Oryzias latipes: one gene and its partner. Each later gene encodes a partner of the first gene's protein in a complex. Links are inferred from orthologs where the notes say so. Each region holds a gene or a part of one and is shown in the gene's direction. Other genes may lie near its edges.

Evidence for each region.
Region 2: the proteins of kpnb1 (region 1) and parathyroid hormone-related protein-like are in contact, whole or in part, in a crystal structure (PDB 1M5N), measured with the Homo sapiens proteins. The link is inferred for Oryzias latipes from reciprocal best matches to the Homo sapiens genes KPNB1 and PTHLH. Residues at the interface, in NP_002256.2 of Homo sapiens: Val55, Tyr104, Pro106, Gln111, Glu152, Tyr156, Gln159, Asn196, Leu199, Asn200, Gln239, Glu274, Gln278, Glu281, Asp288, Ile295, Ser298, Glu299, Asp339, Asp340, Trp342, Val350, Met353, Glu395, Trp430, Arg434, Glu437, Asn469, Trp472; in NP_945316.1 of Homo sapiens: Tyr103, Thr105, Gln106, Glu107, Thr108, Asn109, Lys110, Val111, Glu112, Thr113, Tyr114, Lys120, Thr121, Pro122, Gly123, Lys124, Lys125, Lys126, Lys127, Lys129.

What each region holds. Positions count from the first base shown.
Region 1 is NC_019866.2:173,937-178,533, reverse strand, and holds the start of kpnb1 (importin subunit beta-1), read left to right. Parts: upstream 1-1,534; 5' UTR 1,535-1,822; coding exon 1,823-1,862; intron 1,863-2,540; coding exon 2,541-2,599; intron 2,600-3,147; coding exon 3,148-3,330; intron 3,331-3,398; coding exon 3,399-3,599; intron 3,600-4,466; coding exon 4,467-4,597.
Region 2 is NC_019864.2:13,447,987-13,452,245, reverse strand, and holds parathyroid hormone-related protein-like, read left to right. Parts: upstream 1-1,376; 5' UTR 1,377-1,830; intron 1,831-2,041; coding exon 2,042-2,160; intron 2,161-2,695; coding exon 2,696-3,062; 3' UTR 3,063-3,735; downstream 3,736-4,259. UniProt on the Homo sapiens protein: Neuroendocrine peptide which is a critical regulator of cellular and organ growth, development, migration, differentiation and survival and of epithelial calcium ion transport.

The sequences.
Region 1 (4,597 bases):
GGAGCCTGAAACGTGGTTTCATCTCCTCTGGATTATTATGGTCTGCCGAAGCTGACTAGAGCGGCTCCGTCTGCTGCAGGTCTTTGAACCAGCAGCAGATCCAACATCCCTGCAGGTTCTTCACTGGATCCCAGTTGGAATCCAGTTCTATGCGTTTAGGTTCTACATCAAATCTCTTCTTAGGTTCCACAAACCGTCTGGGGCTCTTAGACCTCCGGGTTTAGCTGCTGTCACTCAAACGTTCAGTAACTCTGGAATGTTGTCCCAGGTTCTGCTGCCTCTGCTGAGGACCGATCAAAGCTGCAGAGGGTCTGAGTGATGCTGTCACTGCCTGGCTGGAAGATCCTCCTGACAGGATCCTGAAGTGGATCGGTTGAGATCTTTCTGGAGGGAACTGAGGAGAATCAAAAAACACTAAGCTCTGAAAATAGAGGAAAAGGTTTCAGACAGCTGTGTGATGAAGAGCAACCATCACCAGACGAATCGCATTTCCTGCAAAAACGCCACGGGGAAGCTCTTCCTGTTTGCTGCCGTCCTCCAGCTGCCTGAGATGACGCGGCTGCAGCAACAAGGCGAATCCCACGCCGCTGCTCCTTCAGGACTGGGGGGTCAGCAGCACCTTCTCGTGGAGTGGAGATGGTGCTTCAGCGCCATCCAGAATATTCTTCCCTGAGTTTGAAGATGAAGCAGTCAAAGACCCGTGAAAATGATGTTTGTGGTGTTTTTCTGATGCTGGACTTTGGATCGGCCTTCCTGACCCTTTCTTTATTCAGATCCTTGTGAATCAGGAGCGGATGACAAAACGTCCTTTGATCAAGCTTTGAGCGGTGACATAGAAGCCTCCAGGCTCCGCCCCCTTCTGCAGACCAACAGATCCATGAAGGTCTCAGTTTTCCTGGTCTGAGCCGGAATCTGGATCTGAACTGGACGGATGGATGGATCTGATGTTGCTGCACCGCTAATGCTAGCTTGGGGGTGTGAGGGGCTGTACGCTAGAGGGGGAGAGTATAAACAAAAGGATGATGGGAAATGAGGGCAGGCTTACTCTGCACCAATAGTCCCACCCACAACCCAGAGGTGAATTTCTGATGAACTCCTGGCACTCTGCAGAAACTAAGTCCAAGAAAACGACCCAGATGTTTGGATTTTGGCTAAAAACAGTAACATCATCGTGAAAAGACTTTAGATCAGAAGAGGATTGGAGCGGGACTTTGACATTTCACAGTGACGGTCATGTTTGTCAACCAAACCTCTAGAAGAATGTGTTCAGAGGATTCTTTGTGTTTCATTGTCCTGCAGAAGGTTTGGCTGTAGACTTCATGTTTCTGACCTCTGACCTCTTCCTGTACTCAGCAGAAGATCTTTACCAACAGTAAAATGTTCAATAAAAGCACAAATCCATCGTGCAGTAACGACGCAGCTGTTGTGCTGCAGTGTCAGAAAAACAGCCTTTCTCCGCTACTTCATCCAGAAATCGCCTCCTGAAAGCTCCCACGCCCCCTGAAGGCAGCACGTCGTGTCTTTACGTCAGTGCGTGATATCCTTCCGCGTGGGTGAAACGCGCGGTCCTTTCCCTCCCGACGATTCAGGATGCGGATGGGCGGCTGCGGAGCTTCGACGCGCTGCTGTTTGCCTCGATCGTAAACATTTCCCCGCATCATCCGAGTCAGAAGCACCGAGCGAACACCGGAGAGCTCCCGCCTTTTCCGCAGCGAACCGAGTTCGCCCCGACGGCACCGACTGAGCACCGTGGAAGAAATATAATCCGCTGCGGCGGTGCGCGGCTACAGAACGTGTGAGAGACGAGAGCGGCGGCGGCGGCATGGAGCTCATTACCATCCTGGAAAAAACGGTCTCTCCGGGTAAGCGCCCACTCGCCCGTCCGCTGTTTGGGCTCCGGTTGGCGGTCCGGGTCTGCAGGAAGGACACCGGGCAGATGCTAGCTGGCAGGGCTAACGGTGCTAAGGCTCCGGCCTGAGTCGGGACTCGTCATTCGTGCGTTGCCGGTGCAGTTGGAACCCCGCCACCAGCAGGTAAAGTCCGGTAAATTTGTGGCCCTCAGCGGCGGGGAAGTTTCCGGTTTGCGGTGGCGAGCAGGAGCGCAGGCTGAAGCCGCAGGACCGGTTACCGGAGCGACCCTGCCCATCCATGCCATGCCGGCGCGGCGGCTGCTTTAGCCGTTAGCTTAATGCTAGCAGCCGCTTCCTTCTCGAGCCTCAGCGTCCTCGCGGGAGCGTTCAGCGGGCGCGTTAGGCTGCCAGCACTTGGCTGTTGAAGGCCGGTTCGGCTGGGTTCGGCGGCTGTCTGGAGAACCAAACGGACTCCTAACGAGCGCCTTTAGCAATGCTAGCATGCTAATCTAGCGCGCTTTACCCGTGGTTCAGACGCAGTCCGTGAACGCATCGTGCTCTGTTTTCAGGTCCGCGGCCCACGTGGGCCACTGATTAGGTGATGGCGGAAATGTCCGGGCCGACCCGGCCCGGGCGTCGGTGCGGCTGCAGGCCGGCCGGCGTTGGCTGACCTCTGCCCTCTCTCCGCAGATCGGAATGAGCTGGAGGCGGCGCAGAAGTTTCTGGAGCAGGCGGCGGTGGAGAACCTGGTAAGTTCGGTCTGCGGGGCGGTGCGGGGCGGCCGGGCGAACGGAGCATCCGTGATCAGCTGGCGCACGCGCACTCACTCAGTGAGCTCTGACGTCTCCCCCAAAGACCTGTGTTTCCCCTAAAGTCCAGTAATCCAGAGGAGGTCCGGAACCCCCTTCTTGATGGTCAGACTAGGATCAATCCCACAATGCTTTGCAGTCACGGGAGTGAAGCCATAAGCACTTCTGCTCTCCGTCCTCCGGTCATGCTAACAGATGTGGGTTTACCTGCTAGCATGACGCGGCATCATGTGACCTTTTTGGAACCAGGAAGTCCCGCCTGTGCCGTTACTGTGATGCTCAGACTGTATGTAATGATGCTGCAAAGCATGATGGGAGAGATTTTGGCTGCAGGCAGAGTCTGGACTAGAACCCTGAAGTGGCTTCGGTCTCAGGACCTCCTTTGGGTTTGGGGGCGGGCCTTCAGGTTTTCGTTCCACGGCGGTCCGAGCCTGAAGGCCCCCCGCTGATGTTCTCGTTCTCTCTCTCTCTCTCTCTCCCCCCCCCAGCCCACCTTCCTGGTGGAGCTCTCCAAGGTGTTGGCAAACCCGGGGAACACGCAGGTGGCCCGGGTGGCCGCGGGCCTGCAGGTGAAGAACTCCCTGACCTCCAAAGATCCTGACGTGAAGACGCAGTACCAGCAGAGATGGCTCGCCATCGACGCCAATGCTCGCCGCGAGATCAAGAACTACGTAAGTGCTGCTGAAGGCGGCTGTCTGAGCGGGGGGCGGAGCTTACCGGGTCCGTGTTTCTCCTGCAGGTCCTCCAAACTCTGGGCACAGAGACGTACCGGCCCAGCTCCGCCTCGCAGTGCGTCGCCGGCATCGCCTGCGCTGAGATCCCGGTCAACCAGTGGCCCGAGCTGATCCCTCAGCTGGTGGCCAACGTGACGGACCCGTCCAGCACCGAGCACATGAAGGAGTCCACGCTGGAGGCCATCGGCTACATCTGCCAGGACATTGTGAGTGACGCGTCCCGTCACGTGGGACCTGCCGGGCCCTCTCCAGGTTCTGGAGGGTTCTGGGCCCCTCCCACTGCTGCATGGCCTCATCGATATCAGACGGCGGTTTGTCCTCCATCCTCTGGTTTCTCTACGTTCCCGGTTCCTCAAAGCAGCAGACGCTTCGGTCGTTGCCGTCTGCGTCCCGGTTCGGGTTCGGACCGATCACGTCAGGAACCTTTGGTTCTTGTGGGATCAGAACCCGTCCTTCAGAGTCTCAGCAGGCGGCCCGATCCGTACGTTTGTCAGAACCTCCAGGATCTCGCTGCAGTTTTTTCTTTAGGGTAGATATTTTTCAGGAAGGAAGAAGAAACTTGAATTTAAGCTCCGCCTCCATGAGACGTCAATAAACAGAGCAGAATGTTTCAGCGTGAAAAGTGACATTTAGCCACAAAGTGGAAGTTTGTTTTCAGTTTTTATTCAAATGTGTCTGTTGGTCATTTGAACTTTGACCTCTGAGGTCTGAAATTCAGCTTCAAGCAGAGATTAATGGATGTCTCAGGTATTGATCACGTGGACTAAACGCTCAGATCAATAAAGAGGATCAATCAAACTGCTGAGGTTCTTCAGCTTCGTAGGGTTAAGCCGGTAGAACCAAGTCGGAGAATCGCTGCGTCCAGAACCGGCGCCGCTGCGTCCAGAACCGGCGCCGCTGCGGCCGATTTAAAATGGTGAATCGAGTTTTTCTGGTTTGAAACCTCAGGAAAGGTTCCAACTCACTGGACTTTCTGGGGTTCTTGGGATGTTCTGGCTCACCTTCTGTGTTCCTCCATTTGACTGGAAGCGGGTCAGAACCCGGCAGGTTCTAACGGCTTCCCGTGTGCTCAGGACCCGGAGCAGCTGCAGGAGAACGGAAACCAGATCCTGACCGCCATCATCCAGGGCATGAGGAAGGAGGAGCCCAGCAACAACGTGAAGCTGGCCGCCACCAACGCGCTTCTCAACTCGCTGGAGTTCAC
Region 2 (4,259 bases), on another chromosome or scaffold:
AAAGATGGATAAGGGTGGAAAGATTTCATGTAATCCATGGACACAGTGAGGTTCACAAATCATTGAAAAAAAAGGTTCAGCGCACTGTCTAGTGGGTCTAGATGACCCAACTCCCAATGTTAAAGTGCCTAGGAGAGCACAAGGGTTACATAACGAGAACTATTGGAGCTATCTAGCCAAACAGCTTTGAGCCAGATACCAGCTCAGACGAGGAAAACGAATATGTATGTGGATCTGTTCATCTGCAAGTAGATGCATCAGAATGGAGCAGAGCAGGTAGCTTGTGGTCCACTGATTGTAACGTCTACGTAAAATCTACAATCTTTTTCAAACAGTATTTTTTGTCTGCTCCTGATTTACAACAAGTTGAATAAATAAATACTCAGAAATGCAGTTTTAAGCTTAATTTTCAGAAAAATGCTACAAGAATGTTAACCCCCCCCCCAAAACACCATTTTCATCAGAGTAGGTCTTTAAGGATTATGACTCAAAATTAAATTACATTTATTTTTATTGTTAAAACACAGAAAATATCAGCAAAGTCTACAAAAATAATAATACAGAGGTATTTCTCATGATTTTAGAATCCACAGTTCAGAAGTCACAATTTACCCTTTAAAAATAAATTGTAATTCATTTATTATTTTATCTTTTTACAAGAATTTTTCTTATCTTTTTATCAGTGGAACCATTTTGGTCATTACTTTCCATTGACTTCCAAACTTTGGAGTGAGTTTCTACAGCACTCCCTGCTTGTTTGGCCCCAGATGCACCAATACAAATGTTGTAGCTTTAACGTTACACCGTTAACACCATGATGAATATTTAGGGTTTTGTTTAGGATCCAAACACTGAATTGGAGATTGAGTACTGCACTTTGAGGACCAAGCTCCCTAATTTTCTTGTTAGCTGAGAACCAGGGATCCCTCAGAAGCCACTGTGACCATCCGGTGGTGAGCTGAGGAGGAGTGGAGGTGAGCTGAATAGTCTGCAGTGAAGGGTTGTGGGTTGGGTTTCTCTGAGGTTATGGTCATTCTCCCATGGGAAAGTGGTTAGGCCAGGCTGTTTACCTTGGACTAAGTCTGGCCCTATCCTTAAACCGTTCATGCTTTACTTGGTAACTTTTGATTACTCAAAGTGAATGCACGGCTGAAATTGTAGTGCTTTTCGCTCTCATAAATGGAGTTAATTTTGAAAGTGCATTAATTATTTTTATATATAACACAAAATGTGCCTGTTTCATGGTATTATTCATGAGCGGTGATTTGTGTTTTGCGTAGATACCACCTTTGAGTCACAGCAGGTGTGTGTGAAGGTTGGGGGAGGGAGGTAGGTAGAAGGTTGGGCCGGGTGTTCGCGCTGGATAGGGGCAGAGGTAGAGCTTGCATCTTCACCAAAGTGGATTTTCTCTCAGTTGCTCTTCTCAGACCGACTCACACAGGCTGGACCGATTTCCTCAGCTCCGTTCTGTCCCAGAGAGGATGCTTCATTCAGACTCTTCATGAGATCACGGCAGAGCAGAGCAGAGTTGCTGCTCTGCAGCTGATGGGCTGCGCTCCTTCTATCTTTATCCCTCTTTCAATTTGGACACCGAGGAGAAATAAATAGCTCAACACACACTGTTGGGAGGCAAATGAATGGAGGAGACTCATGGGGAATTTCCCAAGGCTGTATTTACACCAATGGACCTGGACACAAGATCTGAATGGACCAAACTGCATTTAGCAGAATAGCTTTATCATTTTGTAACTATTTTTTTATTAACAGAAGACTATTGATTTGGACATTTTGTGGGCTTTCATCTAAAGGGAAAATAAAGAAATCCATTCTGTAAGTTCAAGTTTTTGCTTTTATGACAAATAGACCTTTTGCTAAAAACACCAAGTTTTACTCAGCGACTATTGTTTTGACACAACTGTAAAATAAGAACAAATCAAGCTGCAGGCAGATTCTTATAAGGAGGAAGACGTTTGGGCATAAAATTCGAAATAAAGTTTTGATCAAGCAGTGAAGTGACTGATGATATCACTGTGTTCTTCAGATGTTTGGCTCAAGCATGTGCTCTTTAGTATTGATTCATCAGTGGAGTCTGGCTGTGTTCTTGCTGTTCCCTCCAGTGACTCTCGATGGGAGACCAGTTGATGCACTTAATCACAGAACGTGAGTTCATTTTACAATAACTTTAACTTGATGAAAAGAATTTTACTAAAACTCATTTAGAAAAAAGGAGGAATTTTCAAAAGTCCAGATAATAAAAGTTTTTTTTAAAGAATTCCTGTTGTTTGTTTTAGCACTGCTCTGTCTTACGTTGACATTTTTAGGAAAGATTTTTTTTTCCCTTTCTTAGGTTGGTCATAAAGTCAGATTAGTGACAGGCCTCAGACATGTTTATGCTGCCACCTACTGTACTGAGGTTTCCTGAAGCCTGACGTTAAATTTCAGCTGCCACCACATCTAAAACTACAGGACACCGCAACTCAACACTGCGGTGTAAAGACATTTCAACAACATAAAAAAAAAGAACATTATTACTAACAATCTAAAAGAAATTAGGCAGAAAAGCGGATATTTAGGTGGAGTTCTTATGCTGGAGAAGTGACATGAGACACTTGATGCATTTATTTGGGCGAAAATACAATTTTACAGCACTAGTTGTGTTTAAAACATGCTGATCTGTCCGCATGTCTTCTGTTAGGAGGAGGTCAGTGAGCCACGTCCAGCTGATGCACGACAAAAGCAGATCCATGCAGGAGTTCAGACGGAGCATGTGGCTGCATGAGCTGGTGGGGGAGGTGAACACCGCTGATCGGCACGCACCACCCGTACAGAGCAGAACTCCTACACAAACTTTCAGCGGAAACTTTCCACATCAGAAGTCCCCGGGGGCAACCAAGAACCTCCCTGAGAAGTTCAAGGAAGACAGGGAGGGTCCTAACCTCCCCCAGGAGACAAACAAGGCCATGGCCTATAAAGAAGACCCTCTTAAAGTTGCTACTAAGAGGAAAAAGAAGGCGAGGTTAGGCCGGCGTAGAGAGAGTGAGAAAAAGAGGAGGCGAGCGTGACCTGCCATCACAAAGAGGCCATGAGGGACAGAAAGGCCTGACAGAAATATCCCCGGGACCTTTTCCATGGTGCTGCACTAAGACACTGACACTGACTGACTCATGCCTGACAGGCGGTTTATGGTGCCGGGGTTAAGCTTGTACTTTGTATTTTTGTTTCTTCGCATATCTTTTTAGCCTCATATTTATTTGGAGGACCTTCACACCTCTGTAACTCCATTATCCTTCAAAACTATTCTTTTGGAAACGAGTATTTATTTCTTTTCCATAACAACAAAAACAGGGGCACAAAGAGATGTGCTCTTTTCAGTGAATCAAAACAAACTTCTTGACTAACACATGCATCTGTCATAATTTATTACACTTTAAGTATGTATATTTATTTTGTGAATGTCTCAAGGTGCTGCTGACTAAATTCCCTTATGCACTTTAGTTCAATTCTGTTCATGTTCTTTTGTGGTTGGGTTACTGCTTTTCTGTCTTACTTCCCCATCTGTCATGGAGTCACAAGGTATTAGAAGAAGCATCAGACACACTCCCATTATTGCATAATGCTGTTGTTTTGAAAGAATGAGCCAGAGTCGGGGCTCTCGGATTCATTGGTCTGCATTTGCACTGAGGGAATGCTGTAAATGTTTCCAGTTAATCAAGTATTAAAAATGTAGCCTTTTGATTTATAGCGTCTTCATTTGCCAAACTTTAAACTGGGCTGAAGTGAATTTTAAAACCAAATGTTCTTTTTTGGTGTACACTGTTTGCTGGGCAGATTTTTAGATCAGGAAAAGCATAAATCCGTTTCAGATCAATGGAAAGAACCTCTTAACTTTTGTTACAAGAAGTAAAGTGAATTACTTCTCATCAAAAGTTACTTTAAATCTCAAACTTAAAGTTGGTTTTGAGTAGATTTTGATCATAAAAGCTGATAATTTACTGATATTGCTGATCATTTACATGTAGTTTAATGACAATTTGTAATGTGATGTGATGAATTTTTGTCAAGTGTCTGCTGCCCTAATCTTTAATGGTGTTTTATTTTTGATGTAATTTAGGGAGAAAATCAGACAATCAAGAAGATATGCAGCATGGAAATGTATCTGTTCACAAAAACAAGTGTCTAAAGCTACGTACACATGCTGCATATGTGGAGCATTAAAGCCTGCAGGTTTTTGAACATGCTTAGCATATGGTGTTCATACA